Caenorhabditis elegans: one gene and its partner. The protein of the gene in region 2 interacts with the protein of the main gene of each other region in a pairwise test. Each region holds a gene or a part of one and is shown on either strand. Other genes may lie near its edges.

The links. Proteins that work in one complex are often made in the same cells at the same time.
Region 1: the proteins of gst-12 (region 2) and nmtn-1 interact in a two-hybrid assay, tested with the Caenorhabditis elegans proteins (one large-scale study listed by BioGRID).

The regions. Positions count from the first base shown.
Region 1 is NC_003279.8:6,483,528-6,492,306, reverse strand, and holds the start of nmtn-1 (CTLH domain-containing protein), read left to right. Parts: upstream 1-3,329; 5' UTR 3,330-3,388; coding exon 3,389-3,532; intron 3,533-3,895; coding exon 3,896-4,050; intron 4,051-4,181; coding exon 4,182-4,269; intron 4,270-4,320; coding exon 4,321-4,476; intron 4,477-4,525; coding exon 4,526-4,672; intron 4,673-5,113; coding exon 5,114-5,292; intron 5,293-5,504; coding exon 5,505-5,942; intron 5,943-5,987; coding exon 5,988-6,092; intron 6,093-6,251; coding exon 6,252-6,379; intron 6,380-6,380; exon of another isoform or gene 6,381-6,449; coding exon of another isoform or gene 6,450-6,543; intron 6,544-6,587; coding exon of another isoform or gene 6,588-6,766; intron 6,767-6,813; coding exon of another isoform or gene 6,814-7,005; intron 7,006-7,414; coding exon of another isoform or gene 7,415-7,487; intron 7,488-7,532; coding exon of another isoform or gene 7,533-7,652; intron 7,653-7,741; coding exon of another isoform or gene 7,742-7,908; intron 7,909-8,221; coding exon of another isoform or gene 8,222-8,317; intron 8,318-8,365; coding exon of another isoform or gene 8,366-8,779. Other genes in the region: dbr-1 (Lariat debranching enzyme), read left to right, coding at 1-342, 389-538, 588-734, 809-1,072, 1,136-1,438; sulp-1 (STAS domain-containing protein), read right to left, coding at 6,450-6,543, 6,588-6,766, 6,814-7,005, 7,415-7,487, 7,533-7,652, 7,742-7,908, 8,222-8,317, 8,366-8,779.
Region 2 is NC_003280.10:13,613,942-13,621,530, reverse strand, and holds gst-12 (glutathione transferase), read left to right. Parts: upstream 1-3,469; 5' UTR 3,470-3,620; coding exon 3,621-3,759; intron 3,760-4,278; coding exon 4,279-4,769; 3' UTR 4,770-4,849; downstream 4,850-7,589. Other genes in the region: gst-14 (glutathione transferase), read left to right, coding at 5,433-5,571, 6,187-6,680.

The DNA of each region.
Region 1 (8,779 bases), on a different chromosome or scaffold from region 2:
AGTCTTCAAACATTCTATAAATACTATTCTGGAGAACAAAAAGCACCAGTTCTAACTCTATTCATCGGCGGAAACCATGAAGCATCTGGTTATCTATGTGAATTGCCTAATGGAGGATGGGTGGCGCCGAATATTTATTACATGGGATTCGCAAATTGCATTCGATTTGCTAACCTTCGTATCGCAGGACTCTCTGGAATTTTCTCGCAAGGAGATTTTCAATTTTCGCATTACGAACGCCCTTCGTTTTCGGAAAGAGATGTTAAAAGCGCATATCACGTTCGAAACGTTGATATGTTCCGGTTAAGACAATTGAAATCTGATAATGAAAATAAGATATCGGTATAAGCTTGAAAATTACTTTTTTATGAACATTTTCCTATTTTAGAACCCAATTGACATAATGCTCTCACACGATTGGCCTGGAGGTATTCCTGATTTTGGTGATAAGGAATGGCTTTTCCGGAAAAAGGATTTATTTGAAGCAGATCACAATAGTGGCAAACTGGGGAATCCTTCTGGAATGAAACTGATTTATGTATGTTTTTTGGTGATATTTGCAAAATTACTGTATGTATGTATTTTAGGATTGCCGGCCCAGATACTATCTTGCTGCACATCTTCATATTGCTTTTGCGGCCCTTGTTCCTCATAAAGGTTCAGGATCAGGCCGTCCACAGCCTACACGATTCTTATCACTGGATAAACCGATTCCTGGGAGAAAGTTTATGCAGGCAAGTCGTCACGTTCACTTTTTAAACTTCAACATTCAATATTATACAATCGAATAAATTTTTTCATTTTTCAGGCTCTCGAGTTGAATGTTGCAGACGATGCTAAACTGGAACTGTCATATGATCCACAATGGTTGGCTATTCTGAGAAATACAGATTTATTAACAACTGGAACAAAAGAACAGCTGATACTTCCCGATATGGCATCAAATCGTCCATGTGTCTACGAAAGAAAAGATTTTCGACCAACAGCAGAGGAGTTAAAAGAAATCGAAAAACTCGGAGATTTAACAATCAGAACTGACAGTTTCCAACAAACTGCGCCTCCGTTAAAAGAGGTAAGTGTCATCTCAGAATTTCGTGGATCTCTTAAGGATAGTAATTAAAACAACTGTTTACAGATTACGGAATCATCCAAAAATGTGCCACCAAGCGCCTACTACCGTAATCCACAATCTGCCGAGTTTTGTCAGTGGCTTGGTATTCGGGATCTTAATCAGATGCTCGTTGAAAAAACATCTGAACACGTTGGAACTCCGTACTACATGATGACTCAAGACGATGCGAACGCTAAACCAAATCAAGATGACGTGGATTTTGGTGACGAAGATTTTGTAATCGACAGAGGGCACACCTCCGATGAGCCAGAAGCGAAAAAAAGTAGATTGGACGAAGATAAGTTTGAAGCAGTACCATCCGAATGATGTTGAATACTTTACAACGTAGTTTCTAATTGAAGACCACATTGCCAAATATTTATTTTTTTGACATCAAGATATTGCCGTTTGTTGTTGTATACTCTATGTTAACATCTCAAAAAAACTTTAAATTGCCAAAAAAATAAAGCACCTCTCATGTTCACGTTTTCTCACAAACAAATATAGACTATGAAAATGCAGGGAGACTCCCAAATAAAAAAAAGCGGAAGAAGCAAGTCGATGCATTTACAATGGATGCTCTTTTTCCGCTACACTCACTTATTGTTAAACTTTTCCTCGATCTCTTTGACCCAACGTGGACTTCTTCAACGGTTTTATAGAGAATACGGAAGAGCTCCGCCTATATAATGGACGGTACACATTTTTTAAAATTTAACTGTTCCGTTTTGTTTATGGTTTCAAATCTTTAGAGCCTAATTTCTTTAGTAAAATTTATGTTAGGGTTTTCTATTTCAAAGTGCATCCACATATTCTGACGCCTTCCATGAATAGTTACAGTAATCTAATCAAAATCGCTGCAAGACCCGATTAAAAAAACAGAACTACCACTCGGTTTAAAATATAATTGAGCTATTTTACAAAAAATTTTCTATGTACAAAAAAAAACAAACAATTCTCATTCAGTTTTATCCGTTGCAGTAGAGTATCCTCTCCTCCTCTCGTCGATCATTTTCGTACCTTTTCCCTCATTCTCTCCATTTTTTCGAATGAGAAGAGACAGGGATGAATCAGTTGTTTTTTGTTCGTTTTGTTGGTGTGTTCCCATCAAGTACTCTATACTTTTTATTAGTTTCTTTGTTTTCGTTCAAAATTAGAGAGATTTTACGCCAAGGAAAGCCATGGATGAAATTAGTATAACTAGTTCGTATAGTGTTAACATTACCAAAATTCAGAGTAAAGCTTTTTTTTTAAATGTTTGAGTTGATTTGATTTACAGTCGAAAGGTCAGTTACACAGTTTTTTTAAAATTTATTTTTAAATATTTTTACTCGAACATTGTGAAAAAATGCAAGAATACAATTTTAAATACAACAATACAACTATCCCAAATTTGGTAGTTTACCAAAAATTTGAAAATTGTGGATTTAAATAAAGTTTTGGAGTGTTTCGGCTATGTTGGTCTATTATAAAAGTTATTATAAACGTATCCGTACAAAGTATTGGCAGAGAGAGAGGGAGAGAATATATGCAGGGGAGACCCCAATTTTTGGAAAAACAGTTCTGGTACTAATAGTAAGTTATAAAATTTTGAAAAGTATTGGACTTTGAGAATTTTCGAGTATTGCTGCGGATTAAGAGCATTACAATGTTAGAATTTAAAAACTAATACTTTTAAAAAAAGCATATCCTTTGGTCGACTCCAAAATTAAGGTGATACATAGATGAAAACAGAGTTATTGCAATTTTTTGACTGAGAAAAAAAATTCTGCCGAGAATTTTTGAGCAGTTTTACATTTGGTCATTTGTGCACCATAAAAGTGGTTGTGAATGATTTCCCTTTGAGGCATCAAGACTGGTATAATATCCACCCTTTTCAGTCTCATATTGAAGAATTCCAGTAGTACCAATAGGTCTAAATACCTAAATATATGTATCCAGTAATCTCTATGTCAGACGATATCAGAAATAAGATACAGTAAATCAGTCATGATACCATCTGTCCATGTTGCTTCTTCGATTTCTCTATGTCTCCATTTCTTATGTACTATCTCATTCTTCTCTTCTTGACACCATCTGCTCCCTTTATATGGGAATACTCCCCCTACTTGCTCCATCTCTTCGCTTTCTTCTTCACATCGACCCTCTTTTCAGTCTGCGTCTCTATCATCTCTCGTTAAAGCTAGCCCCACTACCAGTTTTCCCCAAAAAGCAGTTAGTTGGTATTTTTCATTATTGTCATTTTCGAGATTTCGCAATAACATTATCCATGCTAAAATGGATAATAGGATCCCGTCGGCTTTAACGACGTCTGTCAAATCGCCGAAAACGCCAAGTGGAATACCATTCTTGATTCGAGAACGTGACGTCATCAAAGCTATCTTAGAATTTTTAGAGATTCGAGGTCTACATATAACACAGGTGAGTAAAAAATGTATCTCAGAAACCCACATTTTTCGTAAATTTGCCAATTTGCCAAAACCTTGACTGCAATTTTTCTAAACTCTAAATATTTTTTGGAGTGGTTTATATGTAATGATATTCGATAATTTTGGACTATTATAAATGTATTTATTACCACCTTACTGATTTTGATATATTATGTAGTGTTCAATTCGTAAACCCCAATTGAAAGTTTGTATTTACGGAGAATCAGACTTCTTATTCAAGAACTACACATTTTAACCAGAAATTTAATTTAGTGATGATTGTACCAGAAACATTTAAATTTTTTTAAAATTTTTAATCCAAACTCAGACACAGGCTCAATTATTACGCTTTCAGTTATCTCTAGAACGTGAAGCTGGTGTTATCAATGGTGCTTTCTCTGATGATCTCTTATTTTTACGCCAACTGATTCTTGATGGGCAATGGGATAATGCTCTCGATTTTGTGGAACCTTTAAAGCCGGTCAATGAATTTGATTTTGGAGCTTTTCGGTTGGTTTTTTAGGGCTGAAATGTTTTATAAGAAAGGTGTAAACTTTAACAATATAAATTTTCGAGAAACAAAATGTTTGCCATTTTTTATTAAATGAGTTCTGTCATTATTTTCAAAAAACATGATTTAGATATAATATAACAAAATACAAATTCTTCGAACTCCTATGCGTCAAGCTCGAGCCCGGACCTTTACATGACAACGACTTTGCAGTAGAGGTATACACCTTTTAGAAGTACATTTTAAATTTTTAAAATGTTGATTTAAAGGAACTCGTAGAATGTCTGAAAGATTTGGAACACATTTGTCCGACTCCCGAAGATTATCGTCATTTGTGTGCACTTTTGACACTTCCAAAACTATCAGATCACGAAGATTTTAAGAATTGGAATCCAAGTTCTGCAAGGGTTGAGTGTTTCAATAAGGTGGGTGATTTTGATTTCTGAATTCAGAAATCTATGGGTTATTTTACAGGTTAACCAACTCTGTGGACATTTGCTTCCACCAACTGGGAAGGAAAAAGACCGAGGAGATGATGCAAATAGTTCAAATGACAGATTAACTGGATTAATTACAAAAGGAAGATTCTACGAAGGTTGTGTAGATTACTGTCAAGCACAGGTTAGTTGTAGTTTCAAAATGTATTTTCTGAAAAAAAAAAAGAAGACGAGAACTTGTTAAAAACAACTTCCATGGTGCCAAAATGACCGAATATTGAAATGAACTTTTTTTTTCAAAAAAATTTTAGTGACCGTCCAAAAAGTGGTCATTACTGAGTTTTTGCCACTTTTGAAGAAAACTATAGCACTGTTGCATGTTCCCTACAATGTTTGAATATAAATGTTTGAAACATAAGTAGACCATAAAAATGAAAGGAAGTTTTTTGGATCGGCTTCCGAAAAAGTGGCAAAAACCGAGTTTTTGCCAATTTTCAAAAAATCATATAAAATTTAGAAAAATTGATTAAATTTTTTATTATGATATTTGGTCATTGTGCTGCTATTTCCTCACTGGAGCTACTCCGCCATCAATGTTAATATTTATAACATCAACATTTTTCAGGCAATTGGTGATAAACGAGGTATCGACGCTGGCCCGATGCCATCAGAAATGTTGACATTCCGTCCGAAGCTCGGATCGGCTGATTTATCATTAGTTTGCTGGTTAGAAATGGTAGGAAAAGAACAATTTTCAATGCCTTTCAAGCAGAAACAATTGGAGTTGAAAGTCGATCATATAAGGTAAGTTTGAATTATTTTTTATTAAGCAGCAGACAAATCGCCTTTTGCCCGAAAAAGGTATCCAAAAAGTGATGGATGTAAACGCTGCGAGGAGGACGAGTGAAGAGGCATATAATGACGCACGTTACGTCCATCTCATCTTGTTGGAAACTCAAAAACATTATGCCAAAAAAATAGTCTCAAATAAATTTTATTTTTAAATGATATTATAGGAAACCGAAACTGGAAGCTCCTTGGACAGAAACAATTATGGCAACTCCAATCAAACCTGGTGGTCAATTCCCTCATAATCTTGTTCCATCCTCCAAATTAAAATTCGCGGAGAAAATGAGCCAATCAATGACAATGAGCATGCTTCCCCCAGCCGATTTGACCACTTCAATGTTCCCATCGGTGCCACGTGGCCATCCAATGTCACAGTCAACAGCTGCAGGATTTTGTTTGGGAACGGCAATAACAGAAGCTGATGCAATGGCGCAGAGTCTTCTAATTGATGAAATGATGGAATCAAGTCAATTGGCAAGAACATCAAGACCTGATACATTGAGAGGAGTTGGAATGATGATGACTGGAGATACAATTGTTCCTGTACAACCTGCACAAGTAATGATCAATGCCCCATCTCAACTCTCAAGTCAAATGATGAGCATGTAATTTTTATAAATTCAAATAAGTGAAAGATATATATTATTTAGGTCAATGGCTCCCCAAGTGATGGCGCCGATCGCTCCAATGGCTCAAAATATGATTAATTACGATTTTGCTCCAGTTCGAAGGCAATTGGATGAAATGGCACGAAGGTGAGTAATGCACATTTGTTCAGAACTTACGATATGTAGCACAGATTCTCTGTAAGATGGAAGGGGAGTACTGTAGGGTAAATGTGAATTGTTTCTGAAAAATCCAGACAGAAAATATTGTTTGTTCATTTCATGATAGTAAATAGAAATATGCTACAGATCCTTGCCTCCATCCCGCCTTCCAACTGTACCAGAACTCGGTTCACCAGCTGTTAATAGTCACCACGAAGAAAATTTGATGACTCAAAGCCGTCTCTTCCAACAGTTTTCTGCTGCTAAACAAATAAGTAAGTCAAAAAGTTTTATGAGATCTGATAAGAGGTAAAATGATATGAAACTGAGTGGAAAGAAAGGGAATCAGACTGCTTCCGGTGACGGTTGTCGATTCAAGTCTGCATTGGATGCAGCACACGAGAGAGCTATGACGTCACGATAACCATTCATAGAAACACTGAAAAGATGGGGTAAAAGGACACAAAAGAGTACTAAAAATACCTCATATGGAATGGAAGTACTGTATTCCTTGCTGATAGTAATGCTTCTTGAACATTTGGATAAAATTGAGTTCTTGGGACTGTATTATAAAATCCCAGAAGCTCCATTGAATCACGTACAAATGCGGGTACACCAGCCAATAGTATTTTTATATTTTCACTGCTCAAGTCTCCGTACACCTAAACGATGTTTGAATTGAGTACGGTTCACAAATGTCCGTTCACACCTGTGATAAACATGTCAACATATCCTTATCAATACCAGTCACTCCATTCATTGACAAAACGAGAAATCTAACAATTGGAGGAGTATCTTCTGAAGGTGGCAGAGCCACGGAGACATCACACTCTTGAATTATCGTAATGTTTGCTGAGAGATTCACAGATTCCCGTGCACATATACTTTCCTGAATTGAGAACTTGATTGGAAGATATTAGTTTAGTTCTAGAAGAAGAAAAACTTGAAATATCCATTCGTCAGTAAGAGGTTATGGACTGATGAAGATTTTTTTTGAAAGCTAATTTAATTTGGAATGATATCATAAACTTTTTCAAACCAAAGGTAGTGTAGAAGTAATATATACAAAATTATTTTTTCAAAAAAATATTATTTTTGCTGAAGAAGGGTTCAAATTATTTTCGATGCAATGAAATTGTTCCATATTTCTACATTTATGTTTTTCATTAAAAATTAGGTTATCACTTTGAATGACATCTCACAATTACATCTCAAAAACAGTTCAAAATGTACAACAGGGTTCACTTGTTCACAGTTATTTGTTCACTCAACGCAATAATTCCCACCACTGACGAATGGATAATACTCACTTTTGGTCCAATTGCTGATGGACATTGACTACGTAAAGATGCAGTTCGAGTTCCGATTCCAATTCCGATCAGACTAAAGTTCACAAAGTTAATTTTTTACTGGAAATTTACAAATTACCCTTTGACAACAACCGCCTGTTTGAAAAGTTCACTTCTGATACTTTCACAATTAACGGAAAGAAGTGGTCCACTGAGACGAATGATTCGAAGAGGAGTATCAAGGCAATCACCTTCGTAACTGGAACATGACGGTTTAAGAATATTTACAACACAGCTTGAATAATTATGAAATTGACAAGAAAACGTGTACCCGGCTAGAAAACTCACCGATTCTCCTCAGCAAAATGCGACTCAGACAGCTTGGCAAGAACCTCAACATTCGGGAATTGGACTTTCAATGAAACTGCGAAAATTGAGCAAAACAACATACAGATGAAGCCAGTGCACACATTTGGGAAAATTAAAGCACTCACAATTGCAGCCATAGCAATTGCCTGAAAATTTATCGATTTTTTGTTCTTAGATCTGCGGGGAAATATTTTTTGAAATATCAGAAGAACAAGTTCAAAATGTGGAAGTATCACAAAAGAAAAATTAAAAGTTCAACACTGGCTAATCTCCCAATTTGAATTTCTTCCAAAAGTAGTAAACCAATGCGTCGCGTTAAAAAATCTCAGTTTTTTGGACTATTTTGAGCACCTTTAACTTTGGAAATATTTAAACTGGAAGAAAACACTAATTTTTAGACAAAAACTAGAACAGTTTTCCTCAAGTTCAAACTAATATTGAATTGGAAAATAAACTAACCGCATCCCATGTAGAGGAATAAAAAATTTCTCGTATATTTTTGAGATCACTAAACCAACCATTGAAAGATGTTATCACCATGATACCAATTGCACACTGAAGAAAATACATTCAAAAATAATTCCAAAATCAAAGAAGACTTACAATTGGAAGAGCATTGAACAATGGTGCTCCAAAATGAACCATTAAAATTGTGGGAATCAATGACAGAACGTTGGCAACTAATGAGAATTTAGAAGATTCAATATTAATTTGTGAACTTCCATAACTGCTTGACGGAGGCAACAATCCAAAAAATGAGCTCAATATGGAAATTATTGAGAAGCAGAATAGTTCTTGTTTTCGATGAACTTTATACATTTTCTCCTCAGCAATCGATTTTGTGATCTGCATGTGTGACGTCATAGCATAAATTGAAATTGCGAAAGAATCCAGAAATGTGTTAAATGAGGGAAGGGTCCATAATCCGATTTTTGGAATTGAAAGATCAATTCGAGATGAAGCTTGAGATGCGACATCGGGTTGGAAAAAGAAAATAATGAGAGTAACTGTGAGCAA
Region 2 (7,589 bases):
TCGCAGAAAGAGCAATTCTTTATCGCGAAATTACGAGTTCAGGCCACTGCAGGGCTGTTATCAAGTCCAATTCGGCTACATTTATTGAATGAGAAATATTATCGTGCATTTATGTCGCTTTTAAATTGACTGGTTGAGCCAGATCAGAGTGTATAGGAGTACAAAGTCGACTCCGTGAGTCTCGAGTATATTCTGATTTCAGTTATGGAGATAATCCGTCAGCTGGTTTGTGTGTGTACGATTAGATTACCGGTAGATTTCGCAATTTACTTTTCCGTTATCTATCGTTTTTCAAGGTATCTCGTGTTCTCTTTTTTCCGGTGTATCTACTTCTCTTGATTACGTAGGATTTCTACAAGTCTATGAAGGACTAGCGCAAGATTACTAAGGAGAAACGCGAGTCTACGTAAGAATGGCGCAGGTCTCCGCAAGAGTGGCTCAGGGCTGCGTAAGAGTGGCGCAGGCCTATGTAAGAGTGGCGCAGGCCTATGTAAGAGTGGCGCAGACCTACGTAGGAGTGATGAAAAGCCAGACTGGAAGTTCGATTTTGAATTGGCTCTTTGAAAAGCATCGAACGTATACGGATAGTCAGACGATATGGAATAGCTACATTTCGGGCCCCAGGGGCTCCAAGCCGAACAGTTGTCATTTAAATCATGTTTTATTTTTTAAGAGGTGATAGTTTTTTCAGTGTTGCTGCGTGTTTCGAGATCACGTATTTATTTACTCCCTCTAGATGTTATCCTTTGCTTTCCCGCGAATTTCATGATTGCCGTTTTTCAACTAACCCCGTTCCCGCTATAATCACGACGCAGACTACGTAGGAGTAGAGCAAGTTTACGTAGCAGGCATCCAAGTTTATGTAGGAAGTTGGCAGGGGCGGAGCTGAAAAAGTGAGATTCCGGTGCTTGACTCTTTCTATCAGTTTTTATCCTATACTGTTAAGCGGTCGATCTAGGCAGTTATCATATCGAGTCGCGCGTATATTCTCTCTTTTGTCGTCTGCTAAATCATGATTAACGAGAGGCCGTGTTCTGGTATACGTAAACTAGCTGTATACTTCTTTGGTTTCTTTGCCTACTCGTTTTTCATGGATTTAGTTTCAAACTATTTTCCGTTGCCTACTATTATTGACGACGAGGCTTCGTTAGTTTTGAGAAAGATAATGTAGAAGTACCGTAAGTGGACGTAGGAATTACACACGTCCGCGCAACAGCCCCACAAGACTGGACAAGAAATTCGCAGACCGTGAAGTAATTTGTATTTCATTTCTCATTTTACCTTGCTATAATTGGTTCAGAGTTAAGTTGCGATTATCCGAGAGGTTGGATCCTGATATGGATATGACGTGGCAGTTACAGGCAGAGGGACCCGTCCTCTGAGTTTAAAGTCACACAGATGAGTGTAATCGGATAATTTTATGCAGTGTTTTTATCTCAATTAATTGGGTATTGAAGGGTTGGTATCTTCTCAAAATTTTATGTACGTAACTCTTTCCGTCATACTTTCGGTCGAGACACACTAAGACTTGACCTCTATAGCCCCAGGCTCTGCTTGTTCTACCCTATACCACACTATAACCCAAAAAATAAACCCATAATACCATAAATTTCGTGTTGACAAGAGCGCAGCTTGAGCTGGGAAAACTATTTCTCGGAGAGCGAAGCGAACCGAGAATTATATGTTTTCCCCGAGAAAGCGGAGCGAGTATCGTACCGCCAGCTTAAAGGCGCATCGCCTTTAGTGTTCGATGGGTCTCGACGCGATGAAATCTTGCCTTGGCCGCAGCGGCGATTTGTCACCATTCTACGTGTTGGTTCCCACCCGCCCGCCCCACACATCTGTTATTCCAAAGTGCCATGCACCTACACTATATTCCAATCCTACGTGAGGACATTATGAACTATCCATAAAATGTGATTACACCGTAAGTTGATTGGCATCAGGTGAGCCTTCCTTTTTCCTTCAGATTCCGCCAGAGTGGGCAGTCGGTGTCAATCTGCAACAAAAGCAGTTTGACCCTTGTGCTTGTTTCGGCGGTAGCAGGGAAGCTTCATTTTTGCAGTTCTGTAGAGTAAAATATTTTCGGATTTGGGCTCGTGGAGCCAGTTTCGAAGTTTGAATAATGATCTATTTTGCAGAGACTTATGTTTTCACCTATAGAGACCACAGAAAATTCGACGTTCTTCGAGAGTTCGAGTCTCGCACGACTTCTTTTCCGGCGCCGGATGCCGCAAGGAAACACGAATTATCAAATGCAGGTTCAAATTTTGGACAAATATTGAAAAAATCAGGTGTTTTTCGAAAAATTTATGAACCTAGATACGATATATAGCTTTTGACTTATTTCCCATAAAAAATTTCGGACTAAAACCGGGAAAGGACGCCGATCCCAGAACTTCAAACATCGGAATTGAAGACAAACCATCGAATTTACTAAATATTCAGTTTCAGATAATAATAATTGGACTAGTGCCCATTCTACAGATTTCATATTTTCATCGCTCAGCCGTCGGGCATCGTGACACATTTGGGAAGGCGACTCCGAAATTCGGGTTCAGGATCGTCAGCCTTCGTCTATGCAGCGCTGTATTCGGTCGGAGAAAGGAGAGAAGAAAGAAGATGGGAAAAATAGGGAGGAACGTCGATCTCCATTCTGGACCGTTTTCCTCGTGCCACATTGCTCTTCAGGGATGCAGTATTGCAAGGCGTTTAGCTACGACTCAGGATTAACAGAGAAGTTTTTTGTATAATTGATTTAAGGAATACGCCTATATATGGCTCAGCTCAGTAACTCATAATTCTGCACAAGGTTTTTCAGTTTTCCCACGGCAGACAGCAGTCTTCGACGTCACTCTCCGCTCAGCCACCAGATCGACGACGATCAGAACCGAGGAGAAACGACTGCGAGGGAAACGATTGGGCCACCCACCAGGATACTAATTACCCTTAATTAAAATTTCGAGGCCCTTATCTTATCGAATTCAAATTTGGGCGCCACGCGCCCAAATCCCCATTATTATCAATTATCACGTACCTATACCACACTATAACCCAAAAAATAAACCCATAATACCATAAATTTCGTGTTGACAAGAGCGCAGCTTGAGCTGGGAAAACTATTTCTCGGAGAGCGAAGCGAACCGAGAATTTTTATTTTTATGTTTTTTTTTTCAATGTTGCCATTATTTTTAGCAAAAAAAAAAAGAAGAATTTTTGCAGTGAACTTTATTTATAAAAAATAGATTTTTCGGAAATGCTTCCAGAAAATTTTCGTTTCCAACAGACTTTTATAAAAATAACAATAGTTTCGTTCAAAATAGGGACCATACCGTAAATCTTCTTTTTTTGTTGGGTTTTTAGAGGAAATATATATTTTTTGATCTCTGGATCAAAGTTTTTTGTGACCAGCCGTGGTTTGTTCCCATTTCTTAGTTTGTCAGCATGGCTACCACGTTTTCAACATATAGATCCCGTAAAATGATGACAATTTTGATGTTTTGTTGGCTAATTTGACATGAAGTATCTGTAAGAGACGCAGACATCTCCGCGCAAAGTGCATATAAAGTGATTTCGACCACTGTTGGACACAAATTGATTCAACTAACATTATTTTCAAGATGCCTTCCTACAAGTTGACCTACTTTGCCGTTCGTGGACTCGCTGAGCCCGCCAGACTTTTATTTCATCTTGCCGGAGTTCCGTTTGAGGATGAACGACTGACTTTTGGAGATGGAAGCTGGGAGAAGCTGAAGGACAGTGAGTTTTGGCTTAGTGGAACGGTAGTGCGGCAAACATCAAAATTTGCCGAGCTCTGCCAATTCGGCAAATTTGGCAAATTTGCCGTGCTGAGCAAAATTCGAAAAATTAGAAATTTTCTGATATTTCTAGTAGCACCAAAAGTACTGAATTCTTTGCACAATTTTGATTTTTGAATAGCGTCCGTGTGGTCGGCCTACCCGGCATTTGGCCTTAGCTTCTTGCCCAATTTTGGCCCAAAAAATATTAACTTGGATCAGAAGTTGTCTAAATTTGGGCAAAACTTGGATTCAGGTGGGCCAAAAATTTGGGCCAAAATGGGTCGCCCGAAACCGTTTAGGCAACTTCTGATTCTGAAGTTAATTTTTTGGGCCAAATTCCAAGTACATAAAATTTGAATTACCTCAATTTTATGATACTTTACTATAATTTTTTAAACAACAAAATCAATAATTTCGGTCAAATTTTTCAAATCCTTCTGTGTTGGGAGCGGCGAATTTCAAAAAGTAGTATTTTCAGAAACCCCAATGGGTCAAATGCCTGTCCTAAACGTCGACGGATTTGAAATCCCCCAATCTGCTGCCATCACTCGCTACCTTGCTAGAAAATTCGGGTTCGCTGGAAAAACTCCTGAAGAAGAAGCTTGGGTGGACGCCGTCGTCGATCAATTCAAGGATTTTTTTGGAGAATTCAGAAAACTAATTATTGCTCAGCGAGCCGGAAAATCAGTGGAAGAAATTGAAAAGCTCACCAAGGAAGTTATCAATCCAGCTGTAAGCTCGTTCTTCAAAATTCTCAATGGCCTTCTGGAAAAGAGCAAGTCAGGATATCTCATCGGGGATTCGATCACCTTTGCGGATCTTTTCATCGCTGAAGATATGCAATCCCTTAAAAACTTTGGATTCCTGAATGCTACGGAGCAACCAAAAATTGCAGCTCATCTCGAAAAAGTGTACTCCCATCCGAAGCTGAAGAGTTATATCGCAAGTCGTCCAGTTACCGAGATCTAATTTTTTTCTATTTTCTTTTTCTACTTTTCATGAAATACGCATTTTTGAAAACGAATAATAAAGTATGATATGCTGTCAAAAAATTTCCTGCATTCTTGCAAAACCGGACGTCGAACACCAATTTGCCACTTTGATCTACGTAGATCTACAAAAAATGCGGGAGAAGATCTTCTCGAGACGCAGAATTCTCAACTGATTTCAAATCGTTAAGAACGTGCTGACGTCACATATTTTTGGGCAAAAAATTCCCGCATTTTTTGTAGATCAAACCCTATTGGGACATCCTGGCATCACGTGATTTGCCTAAAACCAAAAATAATGCGCATTCAGAGAACATGCCTATTGTGCCTACCTATTTATTAACTTTGACAGTAGATAGGCAGGCGGCTGCTTAGAGCCTATAAGCTAGCCTACCTAGGCAACCCACATAGCCTACCTTTCAACTTTTCAAAAGATCATTGGATCACTAACACAATGTGACTAGTTGTGGTTTGTTACAAATTGCCTCATTGTCACCCTAAACTCCCTATTATTTCCCGTAAATGATGACGATTTTGATCTTTTGTAGGGTTATCTTGAAGTGAAAGATCACTAAGTACCCAGACTGCACTCTAGTCTTTTTCCCCTTTAAATAGTCTCGAGAATGAGTTTGAGAAACTAAAAATGCCGTCCTACAAGCTGTCTTATTTCCCAGTTCGTGGTCTAGCCGAGTCAGCCAGACTTTTATTCCATCTTGCCGGAGTTCCGTTTGAGGATGAACGGGTGAACTTTTTGGATGACACCTGGGAGAAGATGAAAGGCAGTGAGTTTGGGCAAAGTGGTAGGGTAGTGCAGGGGTGAGCGGCAATATTTGCCAAATTTGCTGGTAACCTAGCGCGGTAAATTTATCAAATTTTCCGTTTCCCAAGCTCGGCAAATTTGTTGAATATGCCCGACTCGCCGAGCTCGTCAAGTCTACCATATTTGCCGTTTTTCATGCTCGGCAAACTTGCCGAATTTGACATTTACCGAGTTCGGCAAATTTGCCGAATTTACTGTTTAGAAAGTTCGTAAAATTTTCCGAATTTGCCGAGCTTGGCAAGTTTTGAAATTTGCCGCACACCACAAAAATCGGCAGTTTGCCGGTTTTTTAAAAACAGTTTCGCCGATTGAAATCGAAATTATGAAATTTCCGAAAACAAATGTGCAAAACCACAATTTGCCGAAAAAATGTAGAATCGACAATGTGCCGGTTTGCCGATTTGCCCGAAATTTTCAAATTCGCCGGAAATTTTCGATTCCGAAAATTTGCCGATTTGTCGGAAATTTGAAATTCCGGCATTTTGTCTATTTGCCGGAAATTTTAAATTCCGACAATTTGCCGGTTTGCCGACTTGCCGGAATATGTCGCCCACCCCTGCTATATATCGAATTCCAGAAACCCCAATGGGACAATTGCCTGTCCTCACCGTCGATGACTTCGAAATCCCACAATCTGCTGCCATAAATCGCTACCTTGCTAGAAAATTCGGGTTCGCTGGAAAAACTCCAGAGGAAGAAGCTTGGGTAGACGCCGTCGTCGATCAATTCAAAGATTTCTTTGCGGAATTCAGAAAACTAGTCATTGCAAAACGAGTCGGAAAATCTGCTGAAGAACTGGAAAAGTTAACGGCTGAAGTTATAAAACCTGCTATGGATGTGTACTTCAAAGTTCTCAATGGCCTACTGGAAAAGAGCAAGTCAGGATATCTGATCGGAGATTCAATCACCTTCGCGGATCTTTATATCGCTGACAACATTCAAACACTGAAAAAATATGGGCTCCTAGAAGCTTCTGGAGAGCAACCAAAACTAGCAGCTCATCTCGAAAAAGTGTATTCCCACCCCAATCTGAAGAGCTATATCGCAAGTCGTCCAGTAACGGAGATCTAATTTTTAATCTTACTAACATGTTTTCCATATTCAAAAACAAAATAAAGAAGTTTCCTTTGACAACCAGAAACTTCATTAATGTTGACTGCCGCCGAAATGTCCTTGTCAATACTCTCTCACGTGGGGGGGGGGGGGGGGGGTAAACAAGAAAATGTGATGTTTGGTGAACAGAAAGGGTAGGGGAGAATAACAAAATAAAAACGAAGGAGGTTTTCTAAAGAATGATTGTTCTGGATTTTTTTTTGTTGGTTTTTTACAATTCATTTTTATTTTTATACTTATGCCAAGTTGAATTAAAGATGGAGCAGAGTTTCTGAAGTTTGCATATATTAATTACCTATTTTCAACAAATTTAGACGGCATTTTATTTTTGCCCAATTTTTTTCAGCCATCTAAGGACTGTCCTTTTTTTGGGCAAAAAAAATTTCTCTGAAACCGTTCGAAACTACTGGAAATTGAAAAAGGGCAATTTTTTAGTGTTTGCAGATCAATTTTGAGTCCTCTATCTATAAAATTGACCATTTTAGAGGAGTTTCAAAATTGTGATTTTTTGCCATAAATTGCCCATTTTTGCCACGTTATAGTTTTTGATGGGTTAAACATAGATTTTCTGAATTCAGCATACACGAATTACCCGTTTTCAACAAATTTAGCCAAAAATTTTTTTGCCCAATTTTTTTAAAGCCATCTAATGACTGTCCTTTTTTTTGGGCAAAAAAAAAGATTTTTCTTAAAACGTTTGGAACCACTGGAAATTGAAAAAGGGCAATTTTTTAGTGTTTGTAGATCAATTTTGAGTTCTCTAACTAAATTCAAAATGAACCATTTTAGAGGAGTTTTAAAATTTGTGATTTTTTACAATAAATTGCCCAAACAATATGTTTTTAAAAAAATTTTTAATGATTTTTT